2 linked regions of the Alligator mississippiensis genome follow. The protein of the gene in region 1 binds, or shares a complex with, the protein of each later gene. Links are inferred from orthologs where the notes say so. Each region holds a gene or a part of one and is shown in the gene's direction. Other genes may lie near its edges. The genes, in order: LATS1 and WWC1.

The links.
Region 2: the proteins of LATS1 (region 1) and WWC1 are in contact, whole or in part, in a crystal structure (PDB 6J68), measured with the Mus musculus proteins. The link is inferred for Alligator mississippiensis from reciprocal best matches to the Homo sapiens genes LATS1 and WWC1. Residues at the interface, in NP_034820.1 of Mus musculus: Ala546, Glu547, Ala548, Pro549, Ser550, Tyr551, Gly553, Pro554, Pro555, Pro556, Pro557, Tyr558, Leu562, Leu563; in NP_740749.1 of Mus musculus: Asp17, Tyr23, Ile25, Asp26, His27, Arg30, Thr31, Thr32, Ser33, Trp34, Asp64, Val67, Tyr70, Ile72, Asp73, His74, Lys77, Thr78, Thr79, Gln80, Ile81.

What each region holds. Positions count from the first base shown.
Region 1 is NC_081824.1:128,988,924-128,999,976, reverse strand, and holds the start of LATS1 (serine/threonine-protein kinase LATS1), read left to right. Parts: upstream 1-6,924; 5' UTR 6,925-7,050; intron 7,051-11,053. Other genes in the region: nucleoporin Nup43, read left to right, coding at 186-308, 2,969-3,195. UniProt on the Homo sapiens protein: Negative regulator of YAP1 in the Hippo signaling pathway that plays a pivotal role in organ size control and tumor suppression by restricting proliferation and promoting apoptosis.
Region 2 is NC_081832.1:52,216,502-52,226,995, reverse strand, and holds the start of WWC1 (protein KIBRA), read left to right. Parts: upstream 1-6,283; 5' UTR 6,284-6,458; coding exon 6,459-6,577; intron 6,578-10,494. UniProt on the Homo sapiens protein: Regulator of the Hippo signaling pathway, also known as the Salvador-Warts-Hippo (SWH) pathway.

The sequences.
Region 1 (11,053 bases):
TCTTACTGCCTGCCCCACCACCTCCACACTGCCTGCTCTCTGCTACCTGCCCCACACTGGATATACTTGGTGTGATATTTGAGAACGGGTGTGGGCAGTTTTTCTCCAAGAGTAATACAGTATTAACTACTCTACCCATGATTACATATAAGTCTGTAACAAGCTTAAATCTCTTGACTTTTTAGTGTGGGAAGTTCACTTCCATCCTTCAAACCCAGATCACTTATTTACTTGTTCTGAAGATGGATCTCTTTGGCACTGGGATACATCTGTGGAGGTATCTGAAAAACCATCTTTTCTCCATCAAGGTAAAGATTATCTGGAGGCACATCCTTTTGGGCAGGTGCAAATTCTGTTTTGTTTAAGTGGCAACTAGCTCAAAATTTGTCTGGTTGTGGATAGGTAATCTCTCTGCTTATATCAAAGTATTGAAATTGAGAGTGACTTAGGGAGGGGGAGAGAGAGAGACCTTTTATGGGTCTCTTAAGAGACCCGTAATGCTTTCACTTTTGTTGCTGTATCTGATCCCTTTGTACTTGGGTGAAGGAGCATGTCCAGAATTTTCACAGCTGGGTAGATTTCATAGATATTGGGGCTGGAAGGGACCTCGCGAGATCATCGGGTTCTGCCAAGGGGCAGGAAGTCAGCTGGGGTTAGCAAGGTAAGCATCCAAGCATTTCTTAAAGGTATCCAAGGTAGATGTTTGGATCACTTCTGGGGGAAATCTATTCCAGACTCTGGAGACTCAGATGGTAAAGACATTTTTCCTTATGTCCTGTCTAAAACAGTCTTCCAGCAGTTTGTTACTGTTAGACCTTGTCTTCCCTGCAGGAAGCCAAAGATAAGGAACTCTGTGTTGAAGAACAATAGATACCATATCCCTTCCTAAATTGTTTAAATAAATGCCATGTCACTACCTAAAGTCCATTCATAGCATCTTGTGAAGTAGTTTGAGTACAGAAGCTCATGTCTGAGCCAATTATGCTCAAGTGCCACCCTGGCCTACCTTCAGCTAGATTCTTTAAAGGCACTTGAATTATATAAAGCATGATAAAGTTGCACTTAATTGGGTGCCATTTCAGCTGACTACTGATTAAAAGTTTAATATGGTATGCTGTACATCCACTTCCAAGTGCTAGTGTGGCTCTGAGTAACAACTGTGGTCCTTTTAACACAAACTCGCTCATAGCCTTGGGGGACCATAATTTACTGGATATAGTAACAGGCTGACTGAAATGGTGGAGAGCTGAATTCAAACTAATATAGACAACAAAGTGGACATATGAATTGTACAACTTTTTTTGTCCCTCTAGACAAAATTTTTTAAGGCAGCAAATGGGAGAGCTCTTTTGTATGCGTGTTGAAAGAAATTGAAAATAAAAGGGTATTCTGACAAAAGATGCATACTAACATGGTACTCTCCAGGAAAATTTAGAATTATGCAAAATTAATTTACTTTTTACAAATTGAACTAAATATTTAACACTTTAAACCTTCACATGGAGGACTGGCCTGGCCCAATAGTGTGTGGGCCAGGCAGACTCTATGCCTCTGTGTGGGGCTTCCAGCACTCCAGTGGGAAGCTGCCCATGGAGGCAAGCAGAAGCCCACCTGGCCTGATGGAGTGTGACTCCGTGCTTTCATGTGCAGCTTTGCGCACAGTTCCCAGTCCATGCACCATTAGGCTTGGCTGGACCTCCATGTGGGGCTTCCAGCACTCCAGTGGGAAGCTGCACATAGAGGTACAGTCACACACTATTGGGCTGGGTGGGCTTCTGCTTGCCCCCACATGTGGCTTTCTGTTGGAGTGCTGGAAGCCCCACATGGAGGCATGGAGTTCACGTGGCCCTATAACTTGCAGTCTGTACCCACCCACTCCCATGTGTCTCCGCCCCCTCCCACACATGCAAGCAGGAGCTCCCCTCCCCACTTGTGCAGCTCTGTGCTTCCATATCACGGGGCTCCCAGTTGGAGTGTAAAATATGCAATTATGCGAAGGCACGCCTTTTATGTGCAAAATCGCGCAGGCACATAATTGTATAATTCCCCAAGGTGTAACAGGGGCAGACTTTGTTGCAAAAGTACCTTCAGCATTCTTTCATCTGTATTTTAACACTGAATTCTACTTTCCTATAGATACAAAATGTGACTTTATACTGACTTTTAGTGTTTAAAAACTTGAAATTTCAGGTTACAAAGCATCAAGATAAATAAAAGTAGGGGAAGTATTCAGGTACTCTTATGAGGTGTAGCACCTTAAACTTCCCTCTGGTGTCAGTTCTGAAGAGAAGAATTGAAACAGCTAATAATAAATCCAGCAGCATTCACATATTTCATGGCAGGCTTATAGCACTGCTGGTTAAACACTTGTTTCTAAATAGGCTGCTGCCCATAGTCTGTCTTCAATTTTTTAATGACAGTGCTGCATATTAATTTGACTATTAAATTTGTGACTGCATTTCTTTCTGTAGCAGAAATGAAATCAAATCTGGAGTATCATTTTGGGCAGAACAAATAAGAGGAGGGGATGCTAGGGTTAAATATTTCAGGCAAATCGGAAGCAGCCAGAACCATAGAGTACTGTTTGCAGGTTTTCTTGTATGAGTCTAGGCTTGCTTTAGTGTGAAAGTGTTTCTCTCCTAGAGAAACATTTCACATTTCCAAGCTATTTACTAGATAACAACACTAAGGAGGCTCTTTACAATTCTGTTAATATTCTGGTCCATTCAGCTAGAGAAACTGCTGGTAACAGGCTAGCAAAGACAAAGTATTCTTGTTGTTTTAGTGAAACAAAGATATCCCCCATTACTTGAGACTTGAATAAGTCCATTTAAACCAAAAATAAATGTACAATCTTAAACTGGTATTCTGCCATGTGAAATAAATGAGTAATATGCCATCCATAATCATGAACATAGCTAAACAAAGAATGAGCTAATTTTTTTCTCTCTTTCTCCCCACTCTTAAGGTGGAAGAAGTACATTTCTGTCACATAGTGCCGTTAACCAGCCTAATGTTAATCAGTCTGTAGTGAGTGCCTGGCTAAGCAATGATCCTACCAAAGACCGCATGGAGATCACTAATGTAATTCCAAATCCAACTTTATCTGTTAACAGTGTGGATGTCTTAGGACCATGTCTAGTATGTGGTACTGATGCGGAAGCTATTTATGTCAAGAGGCAACTTTTTGCTTGAATATACTTCAGAGGAACACCTGAGCAGTTTGCATGCCTCAAGAGCTCCTCAGGAGAGGTCCTCAGGATTCTAGTTTAATTTTAAAATGAAATGTGTTACTCTGTTAACAGTGTTTTGTACTGAGACCTATAATGTGGTCCTAGTATTGCAGAGAGAGCGCAAGTTAGCTAATACACTTCTGAGATCTGTTCCACTACCCTCTGCTTATTCATAAATTTAAAGGGGATGGCAGCTAGCTTGTTATTTAAGTGTGCCCTCCTTTCCATTTTTTTTTTCCTCCACTGCCTGACTTTATTTGGCAGACTGGAAGCCAGTCAGCCAGGAAAGAGATTTAAGTTAATACACGAGGGTCCTGTTAAGTGAAAAATACTTTTACATTTTAATATTAGCACAAAGTGTTGTTAAGGGCCAAAACTAACAGTCTGTTTCTTTTTGTTTTTTTAAGAGAGATGATGCTTTTCAAATGTGAGATTTTTATTTAAATAATCTTATGCAGTACTAGAAACCCTATTCTTAAGCTGGTGCGTGAGAGCTGAAGTATTCATGTTCAGTGAAATGCAAAATGACAAATAGCTTGCACGAGTAAGCTATTATAAGAGTTCTAAATATGATGAAACTGTATTGATTTAAAATAATGCTGGTGGTCTTTGCAAGGACACATTTAAAACCCACCTTTCACGATGTGCCTGTACCTGCTATGCTTCTGTAAATTCATGGAAGCCAGAGCTCTGACCATTACTATTCTGTATAAGGAAAAAATCACCTGTAAAAACAGGCTTAGGGGTTTGTTTGTTTTTTGTCAGAATCATGGAAGGCTAAGTCTAAATGATGCCAAACAGCAATTGAAGAGCTTTCTGATTTGGCTTTTTTCCTGGTGTTATGTTGCAAGCTTTTGTTGCAAGGAATCCTTTAATGTTTTTAATAAATATTTTTTAACAAAATGCTATTTACTCATTCTTTCTGCCTTTCACTTTGTACTATAATCTTAACTTGAGTAGATGGTGCTTCAAGCAGCTTACAGAGGGGCAAGCAATTTATCTTCTTGGCTTAGTTTTGTGTTGTTACAGGTGATCAATCCACCCTGGGCTCCTATACATGTGCAGGGAGCTGGCTTTGTGCTGGAAATACAGCACATCTGAGCAGACTTAGTAGAGTTGGCTGGAGCACAGAAATAAACATGCTCTAGCAGACTCTGGTGTCACATATATTAGTGTCTAGCTTTGAACTAAAGCTTGTGCGATGAGCTTTAGTTCAAAGCGCCCAGCCGCCATTTTTCAGCATGGGAGATATTGATACACGTGATGCTTGGGCTAATTAAAGTGGCCACCTGCACCTCCTGGAGCACGTGTAACAATGTCCCGAGCCTTTGTTAGGAAGGGAGGCATGTAATTAAATCAACAATTTATTTATAGAAGTCTATTTTGAATTGTGCATCCATGCTGATGTCCCACCATGATGTGGTTCTTTACAGGACCAGTGGTCTGTCTGTTCTAACTGTCTTGCAGGGTTGGGGTATAGCTGTTGCAGCTTGAATAGCCTAATTTTTCAGAGGTGGTGGCAAACTCAAGTCCGAGGGTATCACTTTGCAAAGGTGAGTCTGTGATCTGTCAGTTACATACTGCACGTGCTTTAGATTTTACCATATTTACTCAAATCTAAGATGTGGTTCCCCTCTCCTGCAATCAGCATGGTGGGGAGGGGAGAAGAGAGCCTCATCTTGGATTTGAGTTCCAACCCAGGGGAGATCATGGCTCAGCTCTGGCTTTGGCCCCAGGCTTGAGGTTAAAGCTGGAGCAGAGCTGCTGCCTGCCCTGGGCTGGAATGGGTTGTTTCGGGGAGGGAGCTTGCTACCAGGAGGAGTGTGAAGGGGAGAGATTGGTGGGTGAGGAGGGAATTGCAACCTGCCATCCTCTACCTTACCTTCTGCTCTGGCTTCAATTCCTCCAGCCCCTACCTGGAGCTGCCTCTGCTTCTCTGGCCTGGAGGAGCAGAGCTGCAAAAGTTGATAAAAGGTGGGGAGCAGGCATGGGCTGGGGGAGGTGGGAGAGCAGGCTACCGGGGGAAGGCAGGGAGTGGGGATAGGCACAGAGGGCAATGGGCAGGTGGCCAAGTGGTGAACGGGCACAGAGATTGTGGGGGTGGGACTGAGGAATGTCAGTGGGGGCTGGCAGGGGTCTGCTGCTTTCCCTGTCACAGCAGGGGGGCAGGGATGAATTCAAAATAACCTTTCACTAATTACTTTCTATGCATGGAAAACATAACAAATTTATGATGAAATTTTGCTGGGGGGGCTGGCCCTCTACCTGGGATTTCTTGAGAATCTATTGACAGCATTTAATAGAAACGGGGTGTTGTCTGTGGTGGTTCCCCTAGTTTACCTGTGGCAGGTTAAGGTGTTAGGTCTGCATTGTGTCAGGGTTGATGGTAGGCTTGCATAGAGTTTAGATAAAGGTTTGGAAAGGGATGATCCTGCTTCAGGCAAGGGTTGGACTAGACCCTGGAGGTCCCTTATGGGCTACTTACCTATGATTCTATGATTTTCCATGTGTAGAATCTAATTACTGGGAGTGGGGACATCTTAAACTTAGTCATCTTGGAGTTGGGTAAATATGGTACATCTAAATTAACTTGACCACCGGTAAGAACATAGACCCCAGAAACTGCATGTTCTGGATTTGAGTCTGATTCAGTCTGGTTCTGTAGGGACAGTCTCTTAGCCTCTCTTCTGCCTCTCTTTTTGTGTGTGTTGCTGGGGGTTAGTGCTGGAGCTCTAACAAGCCCAAAATCAAAATGTGCAGCTCCTAGCACAGGCACTCAAGCCCAGAACTGTGATTTGTGCAAGTCACTGTCTCTGCTTCAGTTTCCCCAGATCTAAAATAAGGTTGACAAGTCTTTATCCCCTTTTTGGGAGGTGGCAGGTACCAGCCCAACAGCTATGGGACATGATGGGCAGCTGGAGCCTGGGAGCTGCTGGTTCTGCCTCTGGATGGTAGAAGGAAGTCACTGGGAAGCAGCATGAGATGAGGCTAAAGATGGGGGGGCTGAGCCCTGCCCCCCATTAAGAGGACAGCCCAGGCTCACCCTATATCTTTCTAAGTAGCTGACACCAGTGGCTGGCCTGGCTGCTCCTTCCCACACCTGGCCAAGAGTCGGGCTGTAATTTGAACCCTGGCTGAAGCTGGCTCCCTACTCCCACTTCCTTATTCCTGGTCCCAGTTCCTTTTGGAAAGCTAATTTATACCCAACACAAGCTAGTTTATTCATGAATGACACATTCAAAAGAGAGAAAATTTAATCAGCTATGAACATTTCCCAATTAATATGTAAAACAACGCCCGGCGTTAGGCTCGGAGCCCTAAATAAAGATAAAACGAGGAAGGGATGATGGGGCAGAAGACTTCAGGGAGAGGCGCTACGCTCCCCTAAAGCCCCAGCAGCACATGGTACTGCCATGAAACCACTGCGGCGATAAGGGCCCTGGTGCTGGGGCTACTGCCACGTGAGGTGCAGCCTAGGAACTTCACCCGCCCTGAGCTGAGGGTTCGCACGTAAAGTAGCCGGGAGGGGGAGGGGCTGGGGCACCGGCCCCGCCCCCCGCGCGCGGGCCTGCCCCTCAGGCGGGCCCGGAACGCCAAGGCAGCAAGTATTCCTTTCCGAGGGGCGGTGGCGCAAGGCACGCCGGGATCTCGCCACATCCGGGAAGCCCTCGGCGACGGACCCGCCGACAAGATGGCGGCCCGGAACTGAGCCCCACGGGGGGGTGGGGGAGGGGACGAGCCGCCAGCGCCGCCAACCGACGCGGCGCCGCTCCCCGCGCGCCCGGGCCCGGGGCGCCGCGCCGCCGCCGCCACTCAGGTGGGTGCGAGCCGGGGTCCGCCGCCCCCTGCCCTAGGGCGGCCTGGACCCTGCTGCCGCGATCGCCGTGGGGGCGGGCCTGGCCTCAGTCGCTGCGGGCCCGTTCCGCTGTGCTTCCCCGGGCGCCCGGCCTGGAGCGGGATGGGCAGGCGGTGGGGGTGAGGAGTCTCGTTGAACTCTCTGGGCCGAGTTGGGTTGCAGAGGCAGCGAGGAGGGTGCTGCAGTTGCATATTTGTCTTCGCCTGCTTTGTTTTGTGCAGTGGTTAAACGTCAGCAGGTTTTTATTCGGCTTCGGTAATGTCTTGTGCCGCCTGGCAAACTTAGGCACGTCCTTGTGAAGTTGGGGGTGTTCTTGTGGTTCCTTGCTGCTGTCAGGAGATGCAGCTGTATGGGCACGCGACCCGCAGCTGCCATCCAGGGCAGGCCTTGGGCCAGAGGTTACCAACCACCGGTCTGTGCCTCGGTACCAAGCTGCAAAGGGTTGGCAGCTGGGTTGTGGTATGAGCCCCTTGCTCCGACCTCATTTGTCTGCCTGGGTGAGTGGCTTATGCTGCAGGCAGTTACATGCAGGGTTAAAGCTGGGCGGTGGGGCAGCCCCCAGGGGGAGTGTGCCCGATCCTGCTCCCATGCTGGTCTGCAGTATGAAAAAAGGTGGGAACCACTGCCTTGGGCCACTGCCATCCAGGCTCCCTGTCTTCTTGTTTCGGACAGTAGCGGCATTGACGATCCAGTGTGTTGTGGTGTATCGAGAATCTGGTAAAGGCTTCTGTGAGCAGCTAATGTTTTTTGGAAGTTTGGGCTGGTAAACTGAGATGCTGCTTACCTTGGTTTTGGTCTCCTTAAAATACAAAGAGGAGATAAGTGATACAGCCGCATGGAGGGGTAGAGAACTACGTGAAAAGGGATAGATAGATCTGGTAATATCTCTACCCTGGTCACTGTGTATTAGAACTGTGTGGTAAGAGATTGATGCATCTGAAAATATATTTACCACGGTCACCTGCCACACTGCAGGTGGGGCCACCATCCACTCCAAGTTCAGGGTAAATCTTCTGTAATTCTTCACAGTCAAGGTTGATTGTCTTCAGTGGTTGTTTTATGTGCGTGTCCAGAGATGGCTGATGAGGCCTGTCTGGGATTGACAGACTCTGCTGCATCTTGGACATGTGTTTCTGGGTGGGGTGGGTGGCACTGGATTTTTTATTTGGTCCCCAACATGCTATTTCTGCTGCTCCTGCTTTTCCATTTCTTGTCATGAGATTTCAAAGTGTTGAGACCCCCTTCCTCCATTTGGGTTGGTCCTGGGCAATAGTCTCCCATGAGTTATGGGGAGTACTGCCCACATAGCGAACTTATTTTTGTTTTAAAATGTGTATAAATTCAATGTTTGTGAAAGGTGATGAATTGGCAGCCTTAGGGCTTGAAGTTTCCTATGTGCCGCTCATGTATAGATCGCACACAATGACAGTAGTTGTTGCTTCCTTGTACTTTGTTAAGCTGGAGGCATCAATTTAAATTGGCTTCAAAGCAATTTAGTTCCCAGCTCCTCTTAGTTTTTGACCAGTAAGGTTAAAACCACCAACAGAATAATAAATGATTTCCAGCACTTTTTTTACAGCATTTGTTGTTTAAGGATCTTGGATCCCTTTACAAAATAAAGTATGTATAGCCATCTCATTTTGTAGAGGGGGAAATTGAAGCAGGAAAGTCACTTTGTAAGCCTATAGAGGTGAATAAACAGCACATTCCAGGGCTCCTGACTCCTGTTTAAGTGCCCTATTTGCTTGACCACTGATCTTAAGGGTGTTGTGTTTGTTTGCCTCAGTTACAAGGTGGTGATTGATTGATTAACAAAGCAAAGAAAATTATGGAAAAGCATGCAAGCGTGGAGTAAATAGGTTGTTTTTTTTTGCTTTGGAATTCCAGGATTATGTGAATGTGTTATGAAAATTCCTTGTAAGGTTTTTTGGTGAGGGGTTTAAGGATAAACGTGTGATAAAAGAATGAATTTTGTGTTTGTGCTCTGATGTGGTTATCTATCCATCAGAAGTGAAAAGAATCTGTTGGGGGGGTTTTGTAGTTTACCTATTGTTCATTAGATTATGATTGTTTCTGATTGCTACTAGATTTGGCTGAATTTTAACTGGTAACCAAAATACTAATAAAATGTTGCTCCTTATTGGCTGAGCCATTGAGCCTGTTGTGTGTTTTTTGTTTTTAATATGACTTTGGATAAGGGGAGAAACCCTGCATGTCATCTTCCTAGATGTGGAGATTCTTTTCAGTTCTCTTAGTGTATGTCTCCACCTCATTTTCTTTCATAGCCAATTAGCGAAGCAGTTAATGCAATCTCTGGAATGTACAAAAACAACCCTTGACCATTATCTGGGCCAATAATAAATTGGCAGTGGTGGGGGGAGGGATGATGTCTCTTGGCATTGTTGATTGAGACCTTTGATTTTTCTTACATGTATTATGTAGGGTTTAAGATTATGTTTTGTATGAGAGAGTTTGGATAGGGCTGATCCTGCCTCAGGCAGGGGGCTTGACTAGATGACCTCTGGAGGTGCCTTCCAGCCCTACTTCTCTAAGATTCTATGATAAAGACATTAAGGTAAATAATGATTAAAGAAATGAATTTGTTTCAGCATAATTATCCTTTAAGTCACATTTATGACATGCTTTCAGTTGAATCATGTTTCCCTTCAACTACTACTCTTTTTTTAATGTTAAAATTTCTAGTTAAGAATGACCCATGTTAAGGTTGGCTAGGGAAGCTTAATTGTCCTTGCATGTGCGTGACAGTGATCAAATTATTACATTATTTTATAGCAGGGATATCAAACTGCTTTGGTCCCCTAGGCCAGATTGGACTATTGGACTCCTTTCCCAATCAAGCAGTTGGTCCAATAAAAGAAAGCATTTCACTTAATAAAACTTACACATCGGTTTAAATCAAATTCTTGATAAGAGTGAACCTTTTTTTCCTTTCCCTGTCCTTTAAGGAAGGAGTGAGTTTGCACTTTGTAAATGTCTGGATTCTCCAAAGTAAGGCGGATGAAGCTTGACTTTCCAGTGATTTTTCTGGGAAGTTAAATTAGCAGAGTGTTTTTATTTGTTCAAGTCACCTTTGTGTGTAATAAAGAAATTAAAAAGGCTTATAATATCCACTTCTACCATTCTCCCAATTGGCTTTGAAGAAAAAAGCAAGACATCACTAGAGTGCACTGTTCTTTGCACCTTAGGCTGCCCATAGAATGAATTTGTTGTCCTGCAATGATGCAGGAATTACACAATTTTTTCTTTATAAGATGCACACTGATCAAGGCATGGCTCCATGAGAGTGACCAGACTTGCTTGTTGCACATATCAGCAAACTGCTTATATACAGCACAAATTAGCCATGTAGCATGCACATTATGGTTTTCCTTAACTGTATTTTACAAGTCTTTAAAAGTTGACTGTGTGTGTTCACACAGAATTAATTATTTCTGTGTTAGCTCCATCAAAACAGAAACTTATTTTTAGAATAATGCATGTAGAGGTTCTTGGTATACCTAACCTTTCCTCTTTAGAAAAACTATATAGAATTCTAGTACTCTCAGGTATAAGAGCATGCAAGCCCATCACAGAATTTGTCTTATCATCTGAAGGCAGGGGTGTTCAACTTTTGAGGCACAGGACAGGCCATGGGCTGCAAATCACGTGAACCGCATGCCACGCACACAGGAAGGGAGCCTTTTTCTCCCTTTCCCTGCAACACAGACATCTTGGTCCCATCCCTGCCACATGCACTGCCCATCTGCAGTGAGGGCAATCCAGCTCACTCTTTTGCTGTGTGTGCGCAGTGCAAAACAGCCCAGACTCTCCCCTGGTGTGCACACAGTCTGGGCACTCCATCCCTTTCCTACTCTGCCACCAGCTGCCAATAGCGGGACCAGTTGGTAGAAGCTGGAGGAGGAAGGGGGAACCCAAAGAATCTGGTCACTGTGGCAGGAGCTCA
Region 2 (10,494 bases), on another chromosome or scaffold:
GGCCAGTGCCCCCCATGAAGGCCGACACTGATGCTGTCGGTAGGGCTGGTGGCCCCCTGAAAGGCTGCTGGTGGTGGCGGCTTTTGCGGGTGCCCCTCCAGATTCAGGAGGTACCAGTTACTCATGGCTTGCAAAGAACTTCTTTCCAACTATTTAGTTGGTCTAATAAAAGATATCACATCTACCCAAAGAACCCTGACTGCCTAAGAGCATGGCTCAGTTATTTGACTGTGCAGAGGAAGATCTAACAAAATTCTGAGGATATAGGACAGATTTTAAAAGTAATTTGTTTTAGGTGAATAAAATGGGTGGTGACCTTTCAGCACCTGGAGGTCACTGTGAGGAATTTATTCCTTCTCTGCAGACTTGTTTGCCAAGAGATAAATATCTTTAGTGCAGGTGTACAAAGTGCCAAAGATTGCGAAGGTGACATATAGCAAACAGACAGCTGAGTGACTTATGATCACTGGCTCTGATAGTGAAATTCCACATGACTCATGATCTATAGCAGGTGTCCTTCTTAGGATTGCATTCCACTGAAGCAGACCTCACCTTAAGAATGTTTACACTGGATTTAGGAGATAAGCAAATCCCAAACTTACTAGGAACGGCCTTTAAGTGGCGGGGGAGGGGGGAGAATGTGAGTGTTTAATTTTGTTATATTTACTTACTCTCTCACAGAACCCTATCAGTTCAGTCTTCAGGCATTGTGCAGTAATGATGGACCCAAGCAGCTTGACACATCCAGCTTAATGTTACATAACTAGCCCTATGTTGCGACTATGGGCCCAACCATTCTTCATTAGATGAGAATCTATTGAACTGGAAGCCAAAATATTTAACGTTTGAAAACAAGGGTCCACTCTAAGTCAATGAATTTCTTTGAATAATATTTCCCTATTGGACAAAGAAATTTGCATAAAAAAATGAAGATAATAATAAAAAAAAAAAAATCTCTGCTAAGATGGAATCAAGACTCTGTAAACTGCTGGAATAGATATGAGCCAATTAAGGGAAAATATTTTTTAGACCTGACATGCTGGACTCCTTTGAAGCTTGCAACTCAACAAGAAATCTTATTTGTTATTTAGTAATGGACATGCTCGATGCCTGCTTAATTAAATGTTGTAGCCTTATGTTCAAGATATCTATATAATCAACTCCATAAAGGAGGTGAAACTTCAAGAGTTACTTGATTTCTTTGATTTATGCCTCTGATGTTCAGAAGTCTCTATTAACCATGCCCACAATTAGACTGTATGCATGTGGCTGTTCTGTTTTACTTCCGTACTAGATTGGACGCACTGGATAAATTCATAGATTCACAGGTGCTAGGGTCAGATGGGACCTCAACAGATTATCGAGTCCGACTCCCAGCTCTGGGCAGGAAAGAGTGCTGGGGCCAGATGACCCCAGCCAGATGCCTATCCAGCCTTCCTTATTGTAAAATTGTTGAAATGCTTCTCATGTTGAGGGAGCTGTACTCAGGATGGCTTCAGCCTGTGATAATCAAGGGGAGGGATATCCTAGGAAGAGATATGTCTAGGCAGGACCCTCTACATTCAGTCTTGCTGACTTAGCGCTGCCGAATCTTGCAATAGTTGCAATATATTTGTTAAAGCTTCAGCTTCAAGATTCACGTACATGGGAATCAATTTTAGTTTTAAAACAAATGGAAATTTCTGGCCTTCCTGGGTGTGGAGGAAAGCCTAAGAACATGACCCAAGTGAACTGTATTTGTTCAAAAATCAAGTGATAGACAAGAAACTAACCATGATTCATTTTTGTAAAAAAATCCCTTTATGATGTCTTACTTAGGATTTTTCAATGCTTGGGGTTGCCAATATGACAAAGTTTGATATGTGGAAGTAGAACCTATATTACTAGTTCCCTTTGACAATAAACACTAATCTTAGTGTTTACTTCAATTGTAAAGTTTTAAGTTTATCCTTAAAAAAACATCATGGGCCCCTGATAGAAGTTGAATACATTATTTTTTTTCTTATTTTCAGACCCATTTGGCTTCATTGGCTTGTTTATGATGACATGCACAATAATTAAACCTAATAACCCAAACAGACATTTTTGTGTTTACTTTTGCACTTTCCTCATTTATTTTCCACCAAATAAGGGAAAAGTGCTCAAAAGATAGCATCCCAGGCTCTGGTCTACTCCTAAGGGAAAAAGGCTACCTGTACTGGGTCAGTACAGCAAGCCCAGTCTCCCATCCCATTGGGTCCCATCCAGTCCTTACAGCTTGAAAAATAAACCAGGAATTTAAGCAGTTATGCACATGCCTCTTCAGATGGAGTTCAGTCATGTTCTCTATGGGGAATTGGTCACAATAGCTAGTGCAGAATAGTCTATTCCCCACTATCTCCCATGAGGAGACACACTATTTCAGAATAAGAATTTAATTTATAGCAGAATCATTAGTACATCTCTAAATCTGAGTAATTCTGGAATAAAATAAGTTTTATCCCAAACATTGTCCAAATGGGAGCTATTGTGGTAGGGGTTATTCCACAATAACTTCTAGTAGCCAGTTTCTATGTACAGACACACCATAATGACAGTAAGGAGAAACAAAACAAAGAGATTGCAATTGCCTTATCCCCCACTCTGTCCCTCCCTTTTATGCATGTGAAAACATACTTATGAATCATCTCTTCCTTTTGTTTGCTCATGAGGCCATAATCACCTGGTCTTTTATTACTTCATAATTCAGATAGACTGTGATAATACTGAATTCCTTTGTTGTGAATGCAAGTGTAAAAGGCAATGAGTTACAACACAAAAATTTCTGACTGTGTACATGCATATGTTTTAATGAGGTAAACTTTTTTGAGGAGTTAAAAGAGAGAGAAAAGCAAAATTAAATGTCTTTCACTTTACATTTAAAATATTTGGAAATATTTTCCTAGATACTTTAAAAAAATAATTAAAGGAACAAAGATATTATAAACAGGTCGGACACCTGGAAAAAAGCCATTTGTCAACCTTTCTGTATTTCATATGTATTTATGAAGCATATCTTGTGAGAAAATGATGAGCAATTGAACATAGAAGTTCCAAATGGAAATGCTGTTGAAAATGGAACTGTTGTATGTGTTACTGGGGAAAACTGATATACGAATATGATGTACAAAACTGATGTACAAATACAAATATGTGGTTTTTGTCTCAATGATATAGGTGTTCTTTCTCTCTTCTTTTTCTTGCAGCTTTCTCCTGTCATTTTACAATATTAATTGCTCCTGATTTTTTTGTTTTGATGTTATGAAACTGCTCACCTAAGAGCACTTTTTTCAAGTAATAAAATATCTAGTAGGTTCTTGCCCTCTCAGATATCCTGCAACAATGACTTCTGGGGGGTAATCACATTCTGCATAAAAATGTAATAGTTTTAAATATTTTTGCTTTTTTTTTTTGCTTACATTGATTTACCCTTTGTTTTTGCACCATCAGAGAAGGGGAATAAGAGTGCCTGGTTTACCATTTGTTACAGTCAGCACAATTTTTGAGGACCCAGAAGTCATCCCTTACAGGTATAGTTTCCTCATGACCCAGTTAACACTTATTACACTGCAGAAGTTCTTTCTTATAATGGATGATACCTATGGACCCAGAGGATGGTTCCCTCGGGAGCTCAGGGGAGCTGCAGCCAATCAGAGAGGAAAACCTGGTAGGATGTGGTTGCTGCTTTACAGAGAAGCAGCTATCACTGGCAGCATTTCAAAACATAGGTACCGTATTGTTTTTGGTTTAACTTCAATTAATAATCTAAAGAACTGGGTTTACTCTAAGTGTATCCTATAAAATAAACTGTCCTCTCTTACCAAAAGCATATTTTATTTTTATAGGGCTATCATACCTTTTCTATATGGTGTATTATTTTGTATGTTTCAGCATAACGTCTCCTATGTTTTACCTTTAAAACCAAATAGTTTTGATCACTTTTGTATTTTCACATGCTTTCCATGTTTCTAATAACTCTTGTTGCCTGTCTTTGAATTGTCACTATTTTTACTACCCTTCCACTAGCAATAGTAAGAGCTGAACTGAATACAATATTGCAGCTAAGTCTGATTATAAAGTCATAACACTTCCGGTATTTTTCCTCCCATATCTTATAACTCTCGACACCTCGGGTTTTGTACACCTCGTACATTAATCAAAGGCGTCTGTTATACTGTACATATAAATGGGCTGGTTTTACCATGAGTTCTTGTTACTCTGGAACTTCCTAAAATGTATAAGTAGTTCAAACAGTTACTCCTTATGTACTTTACCAGCAACAGATTAACAGTGAATGTCGCTTGTCAGATGATATGGGAATATCTGTCTTTATTTTAGACTATCCTATTCTTTCTTATCCCTGGCAGACTTTGTCACTTCACTCTTCTCTACACTCTTCCAATCACTAATAAATGGGCTAAACATCAGTTGTCATACAGAACCTTGGGATACCTCACAACTAACCTCTGCCTCATGTTGAGAATTGTCTGTTTATTTCTACTATTTAGTTTCCTATCCACGACAGACCTCAACCTTTGTGGAAACTCTTTCAAAAGCATTTTGAAAGTCTGAATAAGCTGTTAAGGTGTATTTGTCTGGTATGCACAAAGAAGTCTAGTGGACTAGAGGGACGGCTGTCTTTCACGTGCACCACGCTGACTCCACAGATACCCTTGAGAGTTTGCTAGGTTCAGGGCAGGCCCTGGAGCACATTTTTCTTGGGGGAAATGGAGGAAAGAGCTTTCTGAGGAGGTCTTCCCTGAGACTTTTTCCTTTTTCTGAAAGCTTCATTAAAGGAGAACAAGCTGGGCTACAGTATACAGCTGAGCAACATATGACAACCAGAATTGTGCATTCTGCATCTTAGTGGAATAGTAGGTTTGCACCTTGTAGAGCAGGGGTGGGCAAAATGCGACCCGGGGGCCGGGTGCGGCCTGCTAGGCCATTCTATCCAGCCCGTTTTTTAAATTAAAAAAAAATAATATTTATCTGCCCTGGGCTCCCTGTCACGCGACCCTCGATGGCTTGCCAAAACTCAGTGGCCCTCTGCCCAAACTAATTGCCTGCCCCGTTGTAGGTAGATATAGCAGAAGCTTTTGTTGGCTAATGCTTACTCATCAGATACTATTCAAGTAAGTTTCAGCTCACAAACTTATCCTGTATAGATCTGCTTTGGTCAGTCTATGAGGTGCAAATCTAACCTGCCTTCTACTTGACCTCACACTAACATTTAACTAAGATGTCTCTTAGTGGCCTATCAGTTTTAAAATAACTCTAGTGATGTGTCTAAAAGCAGCTCAGATGTACTCTTCTGCTGTCCAACATCCATCCAAGTCTCTGCTGTGTTTACAGCTCCATTATTGATCCTCATATTAGCGTTAAAGACACCACAGGACTTTCAATGAGAGCAAGGTTTGCCCTTGTGTTCTTTGCTGTAAGTCTCCGGAATGAATGGGGGTGGCTACTTCTCTTCCAGAAGTGGGTGCTACAGGCATGTAGCTGACACCGTACATGAGAACGAGGAGGGTCGTAGACACCCTAGGGAGAGAAACGGGACTCGGGGATGTATCCCTCCCTCCCCTCTACGTGCTCTCTTGCTCAGTGCAGCCTCACAGATGCCCCCTTGAAAGTCTCATAACTGAAAAGCGTCGGCAAAAACCATCCGAGAGGCTTAACGCTTCTGCCTGAAAACTTGGCTAATGGTGGAGACCCCAGAGCAGAAGAGTCAAACTGCTGCGGCCCCCCTGGCCCATGACTGAAGCTGCCCGCTCTGCCTGGGAGGCCTTTCCTTGCCCCTCCCCCGCGGGTGCGATGCCTCCCCGCTGGGGCAGGGGGACGCGGGGGGAAGTCAGTCCTCTCCTGCCGACAGGTGCACGTGGGAGCGGCCCGGGGGCGCCGCTAGGCGCGTGCCCTGCAGGGCAGGGGCATCCGGGGGGCCGCCCCGAGCACCTGGTGCCGGGAGCAGCCCGACCCGGCCGGTGCCCCGGGCAGCGCCCCCAGCGGCCCGGCCCGCGGCGGGGGGAGGCGCCTGGCTCCGCTACTGCCGTGTTTACAGTAGCCGCCGCGCGGCGGGATTGCGGGGGCCGCGCTATTACCTGCATTACAGCGGCACCTGGCCGGGCGCGCGCGGCGCTGCGGTGAAGCCGGGCGGGGCCCGGCAGGAGCGAGCCCGGCGGGCAGGGAGGGAGGGAGGGAGGAACGGAGCGGAGCCGCTCCAGGCCGCGGAGCGGAAAATGGAGGAGTGACCGGAGCCGACAGCGCCGCCCCGGCCCCGGCACCTGCGGCCGCGGGCCCGCCCCTTGCAGCGCCCCCGGCCCGGCCCGGCCCTGCCCGGCACGGCGGGATGTGAGCGGAGCGGAGCGGCCGCGGCCCCTGCTCCTGCCCCAGCCCCAGCCCCAGCCCGGGGCGCTGCATGGGGCGGCGCGGGCCGCCTGCGGACGATGCCGCGCAAGGAGCTGCCGCTGCCGGCGGGCTGGGAGGAAGCCCGGGACTACGACGGCAAAGTCTACTACATCGACCACGCCACGCGCACCACCAGCTGGGTCGACCCGCGGGACAGGTGCGGCCGGGCCGGGCCGGGCCGGGCCGGGGGGGAAGGAGCCCGAGGGGGGAGCCCGCCCCTGCCCGCGGGCGCTCGGCTCTTCCCCGGGCCGCGGGAGCCGGGGGCTTGCGTCCCCCCAGCCGGTGCCGGTGCCGGTGCCGGTGCAGGCCTCGGCCGTGCCCCCCCCGCCCTGAACAGCAGCTTCTCGGACCCAGGTCGCACTGCGCCGCCCGGGCGCTGCGGCTCACCGGGGCAGGTGGGACTTGGGAAAGTTTCTGGGAGAAGGACGGATATGCCGCCCCGCGGGGCCGAGGCGGGTCCCGTTGGGCTCGTGCTGGTGCCGGTGCCGGGCTGTCAGTCCGCAGCGCCTTGTTTTCAGTGTCGGCGGCGGCGGCTCGGGGCCACTGGTCTGTTGGTGACACCGAGGCACTTGGCTGGATTCAGGCCCTTGGACGGTCTCGCCCGCGGCTCGCTGGGCTCTGTCCTGCCGCTACCAGCACTCCCCTGGTCATGTGCACCTCCCTCACCTCTTGCATTGTCCTTTTACACTCATTTAAAATTCAGAAAGTCACCTTATTCTCCCTCTCTCTTCCTTTTTTTTACTTCTCGTTGTCTCCTCCCTGCCCCTGCCAGGATGCCACTCAGATCATTTCTGTCTAGGTTTGGTGAGGCAAGCTGTTAGCCAAAGTCCTCCATTTTTATGCTGAATTCCTTTTTCTCCATTCAGCATAACCACTCCCAGCCCACTGGGTCCTGCCTCAAGCCTAGGCTGAAAGCTTTGTGTGATGGACAATGCCTAGCACAACCCGGCCTTGATTCTTGCCTGCCATTCCTAGTTGCGGTCCCAAACAATGAAAGGAAAGGTCTTTCTCCGTGTAGGTGTGCCTTCTGCCTGCTGTTATTTCAGGGCTCTGGCAGATCTCAAATGCATGCTCTTAATATGCAAACTTCTCTATCACGGTATAATCCCCAGACCCAGTCAGGTTCAGAATGGGCTGGGCCAGTGTATAATGGTAGCAGGCTCTTTGTGATCTTTGTGGACAGTGGTTCTCAGTCTTTTTGGACTTAGACTTGAGACATCTTCTTCCAGTCCTGCTTCTCTTTGATGATGCTGATGACTTCTCAGAGACGGCCAGCTCCTACCTTTCACTTGGTTTTTTACTACAGAAAAATAATTTAATAATTCTTCTGCTGCAAAGAGCTCAGAAAGACCATAACAGATCAGAATATTATTTTACGTTACTATGGATTCCTGTGTGAAATCTCTGGGTTTATTGTTTGGATTGTATGTAGAAATGTATGCATCTAACAGTGCTAATACTGCACAGCACCCTGTGGTGCCCTTAAAAGGATCCCACAGTGCTGTGACACCCTGCTTGAGAATCACTGGCAGTAGGGACTAATAATCTAAGTTCAGTGGGGTTTTTGGCTCATCTGCAAAACAATGTCATGACCTAGATTAATACATTATTTACTAAATCATTAATCTCCCACAGTGTACTTCTGCAAATTCCCATGTCCACTTTTACTACCTGTCTGCTTCTTTCATGCCCCTCAGTTCTAAAGTGTGCACTTGTCTTTTATTGATCATTTTTAACATGAACTCAATATTTTTAAATGCCCTTGAGACTAAAAGTGCACATTCCATGTATATGATTTAGGTACAGTTTCAAAAAGATACTTCAGTTTGAAAAGGCAGTGCATCATTTTTCGGCATAGCAATTACAACTAAAAATGCAGCATCATTTTTCTTGCTAAGGTTGTGGAAAAGTCCTTGAAACTTAATTATAGTGTTTCCCACGAAGCAAGAGGTCTGACCAAGTGTCTTGGTAGATTTTAGTCACCTACATGGCTACTACACCTGAAGAAGAGAACTCTGCCTCAAGTACCATGATGCTAAAACTTCAAAATTCAGTGTAATTTTCTAAAATATCATGCAGTCTGCTGAGGTTTCTGATTTGTTACAACACAAAAGAACTAATTCTTAAGGAGTTCATAATCCAAGCCAGTCTAACTGCACAAAGTGTTATACAGTCATTTAAAAACAGTTGTGTGGTGCAGAGATCTTTAGGAATCTTCCTTGTTGTGCAGTGATTACAGGTCTGGGCTCAGTAATCTTTAAATGGATTATTTTTCCCCAGCAACTTGATTCTTTGAATTTTTTAAAATTTAAGTCAGGATACCAATGCCCACACATTCTTTTAATTCTAGTTAGGTTATTCAGCTGATCATCCAAATGTTCATTAGCCGTGGGAATGAATGTTTTATGCAGTTCCTAGCTTTACAGGATTTCAAGAAGCATTCTGCATTCCAGGAGTAATCTTTTGTGTGCATACTGTACACAAATGTAATCTGCTGATCTGTTGGAGGTAGGGAATTCATTTTAAGGTTTCCCTTTCAGTAATTTGCTTGAGAAGCAGCCAATAATAGAATTCCTGCCAGCTTTTCTTAATAGTTAGAGGAAAACTATGCCAGCTTAATTTAATTCCTAAAATTTCCCAAACACTCTTAGTTCTTCTAATGAAACTAAAGAGACAATAACTCATTAACATTAGCAAGGACAAATACTGGATTCTACAAGTCCTGATCTCTTACTAAGTGTGGGATGGTACGAATGGTTACAATTACAAGCAGATACCTTATTTTAAGTATGTGTTTTGTGCTACTACAATAACATTAACTGTTTGTTTTATTAATTGTAACTAGTTTTTTATTGTTTTGTGGAAAACAGTTAACAGAAATCTAGGTTTCTCAATAGCATGCATGGTACGGATAAACCTTGAATCTGAATATGCTCATTCATTCCTGAGCAGGAAATCTGTTTTCACATTCTGTGAAACTTTTCAAGATTTAAAGACTGTTTCTGTTTTTGGGAGGAGGAGTGGCAGAAAAGAGATGCAGTAAAGACATCTGCTTAGTTATAAGAGCTCTTACCTGGGCAGTGGAAAATAAGGTTCAAGCCCCTTGTTCTACTGTTCTCCCACAAAAAGTTCCATCTTGAGCAAATCAGCAAATGAAAATCTATTATTTTATTGAGAAATTCATGATCAGCCTGAGTCAGGAATAGCTACCACTACTGAAACCACTATACAACTACCCAGTACTGAAACCATTAGGTTATCACAGTGTAAACCTGGGGTGAGTAGAATCTGGTGCTTATTTTACTTTATTTTACTAGAATATAACATTATTAGCAGTATTAGAAGATAACAATGAGTTAATTTTATGCAATAGACAGCCCTCTGCATATAATCAGTTTAACTTATTTGTGCAGTCTTTCATATAGCAAAAAAGATTAAAAAGTGTGGCTGTAAAACCAAAAACTGCAGGGGTTATGGAGGCAGATATATGACTTCGCTCTTTTTGAATTGAGTGGCTTCAAACTGGCTAGATTTCAAGTTGCCAGTGCCCATATAATATCTGTTCCATTTATTCAGCAAGCAACGAGTGGTAACTAGAGATAGGAAACAATTTTTAAAGCTTTCTCAGATCTCTCTTTCTAGTTTAATTTAGTGTAAATAAATATGAATAGGGATGTTGTACAGCTTCAGGGCTTAAGTTAAGTCTCTCATGCTTTTGTTACAATAGTTGGTGCTGGGTTTGCAGTTAGATGTGCAATGTGGTAATTAGGCTTGTTGAATGAATTATTGCAGAAGTGTGCCTGTATGTAGTTGAAAGCTAACGTTTTCCTTGATGTTCCATTACAAGGAGAAGTGGTGAACAAAAAGTGTTCAGTAATCCTCTAGGAATCAAGTGAACTACTGGAGTCACCTGCATTAACTGAAATGATCCCATTTCATTGAAGAACAGGGAGTTTTGTGCAAAAGTTTAAGTATCTTATTACCTCTGTCATAAAAAGCATCCTAATTTATTTACAAGACAAGAAAGTAGACTCAGATGCTGGGTAGGATCAGGCAAAGTGTCTTCTGTGTCAT